Alligator mississippiensis: one gene and its partner. The protein of the gene in region 2 purifies or fractionates together with the protein of the main gene of each other region. This does not show direct contact. Links are inferred from orthologs where the notes say so. Each region holds a gene or a part of one and is shown on either strand. Other genes may lie near its edges. The genes, in order: OTUB1 and OTUD6B.

Region 1 (6,625 bases), on a different chromosome or scaffold from region 2:
AACTGCCAACCATAGCCCCATCTGTGTGGGGGGCTGTAGCCAGGAGGGGGCGGGATCATCCCTGAAGGGGGCGGGGCTACCCTAGGACTCATCTGCCCCTCCCTCTTTTCCAGCCTGAGGCCATGACCCCACCCCCCCTTGGGTAAGAGCTGTGTGAACCCCCCCCTGCACTAACACCCCCTTGCCCCCAGACACCTGGGCTCGCTCCCTGCTCTGGGAAGGAGCCCGGACCCCTGGGGTCTCCTGCTGGGGGGGGGCCCTATGTCTGCACTAACAGGCCTGGCTGCAGCACCCCAGCAGGAGAGGATGAGGCAGGGGCTGCGGGTCAGGAGTGAGGAGCACCGGCAGGGCTGGGTGGGCAGGGGGTTGCAGGTCAGGAGTGACGGGCACTGGCAGGGCGGAGGGGTCTTTGGGTGGCACTGACCTATCTCCCTCTGCCCCCAGGTGACTCCGTGGATGCTGCTGCCCTGGACTGACTCCCCCCCTTCCCCATGTATTTTGGGGACAGGGCATACCCCCCTGGCACTTTGCCCCTCCCCAGTGTTTGGCTAATAAAGGATTTGGTGTCAGTGGCTGCATTGGTGAGGCAGTGGGGTGCCAGAGGTCTGGGTTCCCTCCCAGGCTGTGAGGTGACCACCCCATAATCCCTGCCAAGGCTGTGCTGCGATTAGGGGGCAGCAATGGGGGAAGCAGGGCTGCAGACCCTGGTGGTGTCACTTGGTTTTCATGTCTCGGATGCCACCATGTGCATGGCAGAGAAGACAGAGGGACTGCGGGTTGGGAGTGAGGGGCATTGCCGCCTGCAGGACACCATGGATCCAGGCGTCACACCCAGAACCCGGGTGTCCAGGATGCGTGTACACACACACTTGCACACTTGGGCACACGCCCCCACCCGCACACCCAGAACCCAGGTGCCTGGAACATGGGCGCACACACACTCCCTCAACCCCCCCCCCCCCGGCTTCCACCCCAGAACCCAGGCAGCCGGGACTCCGCCCCCAGGCACTTGGGACACGGACACCCCTGCCCCCCCACACGGCATCTGGAACACGTGTGCACACAACTGAGGCGTTTGGGATGACCCCCCCACCCCCTGCAGGTGTCTGGGACACATGCGTGCACACACACCCAGACACACATGCTGAGCCACTGGTTCCAGCTTCCCCTTTATTGGCCACAGGAGGTGACAAGAGAACCAGATAAGAGGGGGAGGGGGGGCAGCACCAGGGGGGGGCTTCAGCTGTGCCCCTCCCCCCCCCATTGCAGTGGCCAGGGCAGGTCCTTACTTTGGGGGCAGGGACTTGGGGCCCTCTAGCCCCCTCTCCACCTTGTAGAGGAAGTTGCCCTGGTCACAGCTGGGGCAGAGCTGGGGTGTCACTGGGAGTGGGGGGGAGCAGGAGGGGGGAACTCTGCTCCCCCCCCCCGGTCCCAGAGGGGGCGTGCTGGCTGAGGGAGGGGGAGTCAAGGAAGAGACCCTGAGGGGGGTACAGTTGAGGGGTCCTTTCCTGCCCTCCCTCCCGCCTGGTAGGAGCTGGTGGAGGGGCCTCCATGCCTGGCCAAGGGTGCCGCAGTCGTAGGGGGCCTGGGCAAAGGGTGTCATAGGCTAATGGGGGGGAGCGGGGGGAAGGGCCCAAGGGGGAGCTTGGGGGGGATATAGTTTCCCCAGCACCAGCACAGACACGTGTGGGGGGGTACATTGGGGCAGGTGCAGGGAACAGGTGGCAGGGGACCAGGGCAGTTGATGGGGCTGGAGGGAGGGGCTGGGGCAGCTGGGGGTCCGTGGTCACCTCTGTCTGTGGCAGGGGCAGTTCCTGGGGCAGTGGAGCAGGCAGAGATGGGGTCGGGGAGAGGAGGCTGCAGCAGGCGGGGCGGTGGAGCAGGCAGAGGGGGAGGTCGGGGGTTGGAGGTCAGGGGTAGAGGATGTCGTAGTGGCCGGGACGGTAGAGCAGGCAGACGCGGGGCGCAGCGCCCTCGGGGAAGACGTGGGGGTTGGTGGCGCCGCGGCCTCGGTCCATGTACTCGACGCGCACGGGCGCCTGCAGGGCCTGTGCCAGCGCGATGATGTGGATGTGGTCGCTCTCCTTGCTCATGGGCTCCACCTCCTGCAGCGGCGGCATGGAGCGGGGTGGGTGTCAGAGACGCGGGAGCGCCCCCACCCTGCCCCTCGCCATGCCTTTGACAAGCTCCACCCCCACTGACTTGGACCCGCCCTGCTCACTCATGCCCCCAAGAAGTCCCAGGGCAGGCCCCACCCATCCTGATGAAGCCTGCCCCCTCCCCCACCAGAGCAGATTACTCCTCTAGGCCCCGCCCCCTGCCACCCTCCCAGGCCTCGCCCCTTCCCAGCACACACAGCCCTTGCCCATCACACCAGCTCTGGCTCCTGCCCAGGCCCCAGCCCCAGAGAACAGCCCTCCTCTGGCCCTGCTTCATAGGTGACCCCATGCACCACCCCTCGGCAGGCTCCTGGCCCAGACTCTGCCCACCTGCTGGCAGAACTCCTTGACGCCGCGCCCGCCCTCGATGAAGTGCTGGAAGAAGGCGGCGTGGCGCTGCAGGTGCCCGGACGTTAGCAGCCGCAGGTAGACCACCAGGTAGTCGGACGTGCTCTGCTCGTTGAAGGCGGCCAGGAGCTCGCCGGGCGCCACGCCCCGCTCCACCTGCTCAATCAGCTCCATGAACTGCGGGGGGAAGATGGAAACTGAGGCAGGGCGGGGACGGAGGCCTAGGTGCGAAACCCCGCCTCCAGCATGAGCTCCGCCCATGCTGGGGGGGGGGCAGTGCCCTTACCGTGTTATGGAAGTCCTCGATCGTGAACTCGGTGAAGCCCTGAGACACCAGCTCCTCCTTACTCTTGGCCGAGATCTCCTTGAACCTGGGAGAGGGAGGGCGGGGTCACAGGGGGCGGGGCCAGAGTCTGCCCCCCCAGAACCCAGGGTCCAGGCCTCACCGCTGCAGCTCGGTGCGGTCGCCCAGTAGCGCCTCAAGGTGGGCGAAGCCGAAGGCGCGGTAGAAGCAGTTCCCGTCCGGCCGCGTCTTGCGGATGTACGAGTACTTCTGCAGCAGGTCCTGAGAGTGGGGCTCTGTCAGGCCACGCCCTTGGGGTGGAGCCTGGACAGGAGCTGAGGGGGGGAGGGGTGGGGCGCAACCACCCAGGGGTTTGGGGGCAGGGTCCAGGTCTGGCCTGGGGGCGGGGCTTGGGGGCAGAGGGCAGGGCCTGACCTGGGGCAGGGTTGTGGGGAGCAGGACAGTCAAGGTCTGACTTAGGGGGTGGGGCTTAGCTGGTGGGCTGTCAGGCCTCTGTGGACAGGGGGTGGAGTCTCAATTTGTGGGGGGTGGAGCCTAGTGCTAGGGGGGCTGGGGCTGGTTTAGGGGGCGGGGTTTAGTTCACCTGGCCTGGGGGTGGAGCTCAGGTGCAGGGGGCGGAGCCAGGGCCTGGCTGGGCGGGGCGCAGGAAGGGAGGAGTCGGGTAGAAAGGGCATCTGCCCCCTGCTGGGAGGAGCTCCTGGCTCCAGGGGCAGGAGCGAGAGGGGGGCGGGGCGGAGGAGCAGGCCGGGGGGGCACCTTGATCTTGTGCTGGTAGACGAGGTCGTCGGGCGCGTACTCCTTGTAGAGCACGGCCAGCTCGAGGCGCTCGGACACCAGCGGGTTCTGCACGGCGATCTGGGGGGGGAGGGGGGCGGGTTGGGGCCGCGCGTCCAGGCACCGAGCCCCGCCCCCCCGGCAGGGGGAGGGGGAGGGGTCCCCGCCCCAGGCCCCCCCGCACCTCCTGCTGGATGCGGTCCTGCTGCGCCATGATGGCCTCGTCGTAGGCCAGACAGTTCACGCCTGCGGGACAAGGCGCGTGAGGGGGGAGGGGCGCCGGCCCCCCCCGCCCAGGTTCCCCAGGCCGGCCCGGGGGGGGGCGGGGCCCGGCTGTCCCCCCCCGGGTCAGAGGTCAGGGGTCAGAGGGCGCCCCGGGGCGGGGGAGACCCAGGTGTTGGGGCGGGGTCCCGCGGGGTCACGTGCTCCCCCCCCTCCGGTACCGTCCGCGTCCCCCCCCAGCGGCTCCGGCTGCTGCTGAGGCTCCGCCGCCATCTCGGCCCCGCCGCGCCGAGCGCTTCCGGGTCACGGCCCGCCCCGCCGGAAGTGCCGCCCTGGCAACGGGCCCCGCCCTCACCCCGCGACGTCACCGCCCCACGAGGTTGGTGTAGACATGAGGTCATCCGGCATCACAGCTAACGGGGGCGGGGACCGCATTGGTGTCACTTCATCGGTGACGTCAGAGCGGCCGGTGGCGGGATGCCCTGCCATTACATCACCCGGCAGTGACGTGACAGCACCCGTGTCAGAGCAGCCGCCTTGCTTGGAATGGGGGCGTTTCCGTGACATCATCATGTGACATCACCATCTCCTCCCCATGCCCCCATGTCCTGCGGTGGGGGGGGGGGCAGGGACCAGGAGCGCAGCTGGGGAAACTGAGGCTGGAGATGACATCACAGGCGATCCGCCCCCCGAGGGGCACTGCCGCGGGCCGCCGTGTCCCCCGCTCCGGGCGCCGGAGCCGAGGGCGGGGGCGCACGGGCCCCTCCAGGCCGCAGGCGCTCCGGCGGGGTCGCAGCTGCAGGCGGGAGCAGGGCTGGGGCCGGGCCCTGGCGGGAGAAGGGGGCGTTGGGGGGTCTCCCCCAAGCCGGTGACCCTCGCTGACCCAGCAGAGCTTCGCAAGGGGCGGCCAGGCCCAGCGCCCCCCGCTGCCCCCCATGCCAGCGCCCCCGGGGCCGGGCTCTGCCACTGGGAGGGCCTGGGGAAGGCCAAGGGTCCTGCCCTCTCCTGGGGCATCTGCAGAGAATCCCCTCAACTCTGCCCCGCGTCAGATCCCCCACATCTGCCCCCCCACAGCCCCGAAGCCCCCCGGCTAACCCCCCATTGCAATTCACACTGCCCGCCCCAGCTCCCATGGTGCCCTGGGAGCCCCCCCCCCCCCATTACCTCTGCAGGGGGCTCCAGCTCCTTCATGTCCGGGAGGCTGGTCCAGGCCGCGGGGAGCAGCAGGGATCTGGCCACGGTCCCCCTCGGGGGCTCATGCTCCAGGGACCAGGGCCTGGGGCTGGGAGGGGGGGCAGAGCATGGACCCCAGGGGGCTCCTGCAAAACCCTGCTCCCCCCACGCTCGCCGGTGCCCCTCACTCCCGACCCGCAGTCCCCGGCCCCCTGTAGCACAGCCCCAAGCCACAGAGGAGCCCGATGCGCCGGGCGGGCCGAGCTGCACTCACCTCTGGGCCTTGCGGCCCTCGCCAGGCAGGCGGTGGGAGCAGGTGCGAGGGGGCACGGCGCGGCCCTGGTAGCAGCCCAGGGGGGTGCGGCGAGGCACCAGGCTGAAGCCAAGCTGGAGCCTCTCAGCGATGCTCCGCTTCTCCCACTGGCTGCGCAGGGGAGGGGGCCGCGGCCGCCTGGGGCCCAGTGGGGATGAGGGGGCAGCCGGGGGGGCCGTCGGGGCCGGCAGGTGCTGGAAGTGGCTGGAGACATAGATGGGCAGGTGGGACGTGTCACGCTGGGCCTGAGAGTGGAGGTGGGGGGGAGGTCTCAGAGCCCTGCCAATGCCCCTTGCCCCCTGCTCGATGGGTGCCCCTTGCTCCCGACCCGCAGCCCCTTGCCCCACTGCTCGATGGGTGCCCCTTGCTCCAGACCTGCAGCCCCTTGCCCCCTGCTCGATGGGTGCCCCTTGCTCCAGACCCGCAGCCCCTTGCCCCCTGCTCGATGGGTGCCCCTTGCTCCAGACCCGCAGCCCCTTGCCCCACTGCTCGATGGGTGCCCCTTGCTCCAGACCTGCAGCCCCTTGCCCCACTGCTCGATCGATGCCCCTTGCTCCAGACCCGCAGCCCCTTGCCCCCTGCTCGATGGGTGCCCCTTGCTCCAGACCTGCAGCCCCTTGCCCCACTGCTCGATGGGTGCCCCTCGCTCCAGACCCGCAGCCCCTTGCCCCCTGCTCGATCGATGCCCCTCGCTCCAGACCCGCAGCCCCTTGCCCCACTGCTTGATCGATGCCCCTTGCTCCAGACCCGCAGCCCCTTGCCCCCTGCTCGATGGGTGCCCCTTGCTCCAGACCCGCAGCCCCTTGCCCCCCAACTTGATTGGTGCCCCTCGCTCCCGACCCGCAGCCCCTCTCCCACTTACCATGGTCCTTGCTGGCTCCCAGCCCCCTGCCTGGACTCAGCCCCACTGACACCTACTGGTTGGTTGGGGGAGGGGGGAAATGGGCACATTACCCCCTGCAGCACCCCCTGGGGGCAGCATCCCCAGCCCATGGGGTGGGGGGCAAGAGGGGCCCAGCTGGGGGCACTGCGATCCCCCCAGCCTAGAGCCCAGAGCACGGGGGATGTGGGATACCCTCTCTACCCAGACCCCTCCTCCCCCTGCCCAGGAGGCCTGTAGCTATCCCACAATGCCCAGCAGCAAGCCCCATTCCAATCATGCAAAGGATTATGGGATACCAGCCCGCAATGCTCTCCCCTCTTAGCCCCAGAGATGGGTGGACAGCACGGGGCATTAACAGCCTCTTCCAGGGCACATTAAATACCCCCACAGGGTCAGACAAGGAAGCTGCTGCTCACCCACCCCTGAGCCCCATCACTGCGGGCCCAGAG
Region 2 (6,625 bases):
GACATGTGGTGTTTGTCGGCAGGGGGGCGGTCCATGCATGTGTGTAGGGGGATGGGTACACACGCGTATTGGGGGTGCCCACACGCTAGGTCCCAGGAGCTGGCTAGACAGCACTGCCTCAGCCCTGGCATAAAGCTTCCTGGTGGGGCTGTTGCTGGAGCCACCCAGGTACTGCTCAGCTCCTCCTGCCTCCAGCAGCTCCTTCTCCTGCCCCTGTTGTGCTGCTCCAGGCAGAAGGTGCCTGTCCAGACAAGGGGGAAGCTGCAGCCAGGCAGCTCCTAATCCAGCATGCAGGGCTCCTGCTCCTAGCCACTTTCCACCCATTCTGCCCACCTGGTGCAACAAGCAGCCACTTGTGAGAGGCTGAGTGGGTAGAAGATGGCTGGGAGCTGGAGCTTGAGCTGGAGCCCCTGTGCACTGGCCCAGGATCCACCCACCTGCAGCTCCCCACCACCTGGATGGGTTCATGGCGTCCGCACATGTCCCCGTGGCCACCGTCACTTCCTCAAGCTAGTTGCTGCCTGGAGCAGTTCAGCAGGGACAGGAGGAAGAAAAGGAAATACTGATGGCAGGGGGAGCTGAGCAGTACCTAGGCAATTGTAGGTGCACTGGGGTTGGCCCCACTGGGAAGCCATGCACACTGGCCAGGGATGTCAGCAGGCACAGGCAGGAGTGCAACACAGGCTTCCCTGGGCAGGAGCGGGCAGGGCTCAGCCCCTTATGGAGAACCAGTGGCAGCCATGGGGTAGAAATCAATTGGTGGATGCCCGTCCACAGGCCAGATCCTATCAGTTGGTGGGCCTGATCCAGCCTGCGGACTGTATTTTGCACACCTCTGCTATAGAGGATTTTTTTCCTTGAAGAGTACCGACCTGTCCATTTGCCGTTAGTGCGCACACACTCTTTGGGTTGTGTGAATCCCAGTTGCACAGTCTCAGGGGAAATCAAGAATAGTTTCAAGCAAAGTATTTTAGAACCCTACATTACTGCAAACCTACCTTTTAACTTGACAAACTTAAATGATATTAAAGATGAAGTACTAGATGTTTCTGACTGGGCATTAGAACTTTTTCTGAAGTCCCTTTACATTAGATTATTACATTATATTATTTTTTTTAACTAACAACATGGAGATAAGCAGAAACACTCCTGTTAAGGCCACATTACAGCTGAGAAGTTCTGGGGGGAAACAGAAAATAAGAACACTTCAGGGTCACAGCCCCACAGTGACAACATGGGAGTGGGAAAGGTGAGAGACCAAAGTTTGTGGCACATCAACTGAATCTGAGAGGCAGAAGGCACGGGAGATACTACTTTATAGGCACCTTACAGAAAGGCAGTCAGCAGGGTTAGTCTGAAGTAGAGCAGAAGGCAGGGCATAGCTGCACACTTAGTGCCCCTCTACATGTGCAAATTAGGGGCACACGATAAAGATTTTTTTGGCCAATACCAATGGCCAATTATTAACCAGCCATATTAGTCAATACTGATCTGATTGCCAATATGCAGCCCGGCAACTTAGAGAGCAGCATCCGGAAGGTAGGCCTGTAGGGGGGAAGGGGCATAGAGGAGAGAAGGGGCATAGGAGGAGTGGATTGAGGCCCCCATGGTGAGGGAAGGAGTGGGGCAGGGGCAGAGGCAGGCACTGCCCAGCCGAGGCGGGGTGGGGGATAGAGCCGCAGGCAGCTTGTACAAGGGGTGGAAGTGGCAGCTCCCACCACTGTGCGCATCCCTCGCAGAAGCATAGGGGGAATATGCCGACCGTATTTGTGTATGGAGTGAGGGCAGGCCGCCCACTGTGGGCTCAGGGTCAGAGGCTGGGCTGGGGCTGCACTGGGGGTGGGCAGTGGTAGCACTGGGAGGGGGGACTACAGCCACCCCAAAATACCCCATAGCCCCCCCTCCCAATGCTGCCACCACTCATCCCACCTCCACCCACCCCGAGTGCAACCCCAGCCCTCCCACCGGGAAGAGTTCGGCTCAGCCTCCAGCCCCAAACTTGCAGCAGGCAGCATGCCCTTGTCCCATGCACAAATCTGGGGGGCACATGGCTCCCATGCCTCCCGTGGGACACATGCAGCGTCGAAAGCTGCCCTCCCCACCCCCTGGGTGAGCCACCTGCAGCTCCATCCCATGCCCTGTCCCACCTGCCCCAGCTCCACTCCTTCCCTCGCTGTGGGGGCCTCAATCTGCCTCCACTATGTCCCTTTCCCCACAAACTTATCAGATAGATGCTGCTCTCCAAATTGCTGGGCTGCATTCCTGCCCACATGCATGCTGCAGCTGTGCACGTGCACACAACATTTATCGGTGACATTATCAACCTCTTTGGCCAAAAAAAGCTGACTGCCAATAATGTCAATTTCCTTTTATCAGTGCTGATACGATATGGACAAATGTATCGGTGCACCTCTAGTGCAGATAAAGGCACAATGGAATCTAATGCGCGATCTGCACAATCATGCCTCCTGCCATGCCACATGTGCATGGCAAAAGATACTATTTTAGGATCATGCATTAGAGCTTATCACACCTTACTGCCAGTAGAGGGAGATCATGATCCCCTGCACTGGCTCTCATGGCTGTGAGCCCCCCAGGATTCTTCCCACTGCCCCCGCTATGAGACCTACAGCCAACAAGGCTGTCCCTACTGCAAGGCCCACAGCTGTTGAGACTCACAGCAGGGTCAGCAATGGGAATGCCATCACCATGGCAAGACTCGTCAGCTGTGGAGCTGGCAGCAAGTGGTGCAGCCCTGTGGCTCAGAGTCCCTCAGGTGCCAGGGCTCCCAGCCACAAGGAAGCACTTGGCCACACATTCAATTAGTGGCATAATTAGGACAAGCTACAAAGCTATCACACATTTTTTAACACCATCTAACGGATAAACTCGTAGCTGGATCACAACTTAAGGTGTGATTACCTGGTTACTCCTCGGCCCCTACTACATGTTACATATATTATCAGTCACGCAATAAAGGTAAAGCAGAAGCATCCAAGAAATTCCCAGACCATACAGGTGACTGGGCAGCTATAAAAAGAGCCAGCCAGCTACACCATTAGTGTTTGAAAACCCAACCATGCTCTGGCCGGTTTCTAGCCAGCTTCCATTTGGGGCTGTAGCAGGGCCCTAAGGCTAAAAGCAGATGAGGCTTCCAGGCCTCCTAGGCAGCAAAGCCCAGACTCCACACAGGGCCGGGTCCATTGATCCCACGCGAGGAACCTGCCAAGGGCCCGAATTAGCACTTGGCCTGGGGACAATGGGCTGATTCCAGTGAATTAATCGAGCCCCAGACTCCCCCGTCCCGGACTAAGCCCTTGGGCCACAGGTGCGCCCGTGCTCCAGCCGCCCGCCCGCAGGGGAGATCCGAGCCCGCCAGCAGACCGATGCCGAGGGTCATTATGACGCGCTGACGGCGATTGTGACGAAGATGATGACGGCGCTTTTGGAACGCGGAGTCCTGGAATCCCCCCGCCCGGGCCCAGCGGCCCCCAGGCGGGAAGCGCGCGCGGAGCGGAGCGCAGTGCAAGGGGCTACCGCTGCCGCCGCAGCTACCCCCGGCCGGCTCAGCTCACCCTGCAGCTCCCGCTTCTCCCTGCGCTGCCGCCTGGCCAGCAGCTGCACCGTGCCCTCCGCCGGCTCGTCCTCCCCGGAGCCGTCCATGGGGCTGCCGGCAGCTTCCGGGAGGCCGCACACAGCCCCGCCTCTGCCGCAGCCGGGTCCAGGCGCTCGCGAAGGGGCGGTGGCGCTCCACTGCCGGCCGCTTCCTCCCGCCTGGTCCCGAGCCGCGCAGCTGAGGCGGGTCCCTGTGGCCGGCGCGGGGAGGTACCGCGCCTGCTCCCTGCCGAGCCCTCGCTTCCCCTGCTGCTCCGTAGGGGTGGGGACACTCCCACGCCGCTTCCCAGCTTTGTGAGGGACAGGCCGAGCACCTAGGACACGCGTCTGTCCTGTCCCTGGGGCAATAAGTGTTGCTCCAGAACATTTCCGTCCCCCCGGAAATACAGCGAGGCGGGGGGATTCATATATAGCTATGTACGTGTATATATACACACACGTGCATACGATTTGCCCCTTTGCTTTTTCCAGCTCTCCCCGCTACCTTGTCCCTCACATGTGCGCGCGCCACACACACACACACTTAATTACTGAGGCCTCTGCGGTGAAGGAGGAATTAGGGTAGGGGTAGGGGCGAGTGGGGCCCTGGCTGGGCCAGGCCAGGGGAGGGTCAGTGCCCAGGTGCCTTGTTCAGGCACGTGGGGGGCTCCTGCTGCTGCACACACCCCAGCAGAGGCACGGGGGCACATGGCGAGGCGGCTATTGCTGTTCGCTGGGCTTTGCGTGGGTAGTAGAGGGTGCAGAAAGGGACTGTCCCACTCACCCGGCCCAGCCCCGGCAGCAGGGGGCGGAGCTCAGCCTAGCCCTGTGCGTCCTGTCACTCATACATTCTGCTGTTCCGCTACTGTGTCCCAGTGACTCCCCACATGTGTCCTGAATGTGGAGCCTGTGACGGTTGATCTAACTAAGATCAACTGTCAAGGGCTCCCCAATCGACCAGGATAGACCAGTTGGTGACCACTGAAATAGGCTAATGTGTACATCACAGTGATGAGGACACTAGAAGAATATGTAGACACATGTAAGAAGCCCCATGGCTATTAGAACACACTATTAAAACAATTAGGATTTGATAATTGTATTTTCATGTTCCTTTATGGAAGCAAGTGTGTGCGCATGTGTGGGCCTCGGTGTACACACGTATATCTATATCTATCTATCTAGAGATAGACAGATATTGTGTATGTGCCTATCTATCTACAGCAGCAAGCTTTTGTATATATGTTTGTATGTTACATAGATTTATACAAATACATATATGCACACACACATCTATATATATCTATATAGTTTTTTTAAACCACTCTTAAAACACATTTTTTAAAACGTTCTTCAATGTAAAAGATCATTAAATACTATTATTCTTCTGCACTATTGTGTATTTTATGATCTTTTCTAGATCTTGCAGTGTTTCAGCTAACACAATAAATTTCGTTTTATATGCAGACAAGGTTTTTGAGTAGATGTGATATCTTTTATTAGACCAACTGAGTAGTTGGAAAGTTCTTAGCAAGCTTTCGGGTGCAAACACCCTTCTTCAGGCATAGGGAGTCTCTATATCCTTGTAATTACCGGTTGAGACATACAACTTGATCCCGGATCTCTTATACAGGCCAAATTCTCACTGATATCAGTTGGAATTTTGCCAGTTTAAAACTACAAGATTTGACCCAGCCCAAAATATCTGCACCAAAGACAAAAAAAAGTTTGTGTGCCCTACCACTTGCACACAAGAGACTGTCAAATGCAGCAGACTGTGTTCTTTGAACACTAAGCAAGGGGCTTCTGACCACTATTGATACTTCCAAGGCACATCCATGGCTCCACACTACTGTACTCCACTTAACCCTGTGCAACAGCAAGCTACAGCAAGGTCACACTGGAAAGAGCATACCTAAAGATAAAAGATGAGAGTGTCACCCGACCAGGAGGAGGCTGGGCTTGAGCTGGTCAGTCAGTCCATGGGGAGAGGAGCTCCTGGTAGCAGGGCTCCTGAGAGAATTGCTGAGCTGGGGGAAGCAGCATTGAGCATGGGAACAAGGCCAGGGCCCAGAAACAGGCCAGGCCTTGGAATATATAGGCCTGGGAAGAGGAGTGGTGAACCCGTAGCCTAGAGAGGGGCAGCAGAGATGAGGGGCCAGGAGGAATAGAGAGCCTGGGACCCAGAGACAGGTACTCAGGAGAAGGTCTGATGCAGGGGGGTGGGGGGGAGACCAGGAGGGTGTTACCTGTCAGCTCTGTGTTCCTGGGGAACCCTGGTGCAGTACCCAGCCTGTGTGACTCATGAAGGATTCCCCCTACCCCCACCTGAACCAGAAGTGATCAGAAGAAGGACTTACAAAAGGCAATGAAGATGCAGTGAGAGACGCACCTAAAACTCTCCGGACAAGGGTGACAGGATTAAGGTAACTCCCCTAGTCCCATTTGCATCAGAGATGAGAAAGGGAGGCACCTCCATTAGCATTCAGAGTGGAGAACAGAAATTCCAAGGCAGGGACTGCACTGAACTCTAGGACCAGAGAAGCTGGGGAGCACTGCATGATGGAGGATCCCTGCTCCAAATCATTTACCCATAAACTAACCTAGTGTTCTCCCTTGAACCATTGTTATTTCCCTACAAAAACCCCTACCCAAGCTCAAGTTTCTGTTCTGGTACTTGGATCCAAACACTGCACCAATTTCGCTGGGACTTCACCTTTTCCTTTCTTGCCTGGAATATCTTCACTGATTGTGCTGGGGGCTCTGCCTGTCTCCAACCCCCTGGACCTGAATCTAAACAAATTGTCTGCAAGCTCCCCAAACACCTGGGAACCTCAACCAGTTAAAGCTTCACTGAGTGGTGAGAGCCTCTGCCTCTCCAGGCACAGGTTTATAAGCCTGACTTTTGTTAATCAAACTTGAGCTAGACTTCCCCAAATACCCAGTTGAAACTGTCCAACATTGTAACTGCTTTGTTTATTTGTCTCTCCTGTATGGCTGTTCCTACTAGTGCCCTTATACGTTTCATATA

Evidence for each region.
Region 1: the proteins of OTUD6B (region 2) and OTUB1 fractionate together in Homo sapiens (co-fractionation; 4 studies listed by BioGRID and IntAct, with this or other methods). This does not show direct contact. The link is inferred for Alligator mississippiensis from reciprocal best matches to the Homo sapiens genes OTUD6B and OTUB1.

Annotation. Positions count from the first base shown.
Region 1 is NC_081838.1:4,618,864-4,625,488, forward strand, and holds OTUB1 (ubiquitin thioesterase OTUB1), read right to left. Parts: upstream 4,134-6,625; 5' UTR 4,081-4,133; coding exon 4,029-4,080; intron 3,832-4,028; coding exon 3,770-3,831; intron 3,667-3,769; coding exon 3,568-3,666; intron 3,073-3,567; coding exon 2,954-3,072; intron 2,879-2,953; coding exon 2,794-2,878; intron 2,685-2,793; coding exon 2,490-2,684; intron 2,106-2,489; coding exon 1,911-2,105; 3' UTR 1,157-1,910; downstream 1-1,156. Other genes in the region: ADP-ribose glycohydrolase MACROD1, read left to right, coding at 445-476. UniProt on the Homo sapiens protein: Hydrolase that can specifically remove 'Lys-48'-linked conjugated ubiquitin from proteins and plays an important regulatory role at the level of protein turnover by preventing degradation.
Region 2 is NC_081826.1:45,999,225-46,005,849, forward strand, and holds the start of OTUD6B (deubiquitinase OTUD6B), read right to left. Parts: upstream 3,812-6,625; 5' UTR 3,664-3,811; coding exon 3,576-3,663; intron 1-3,575.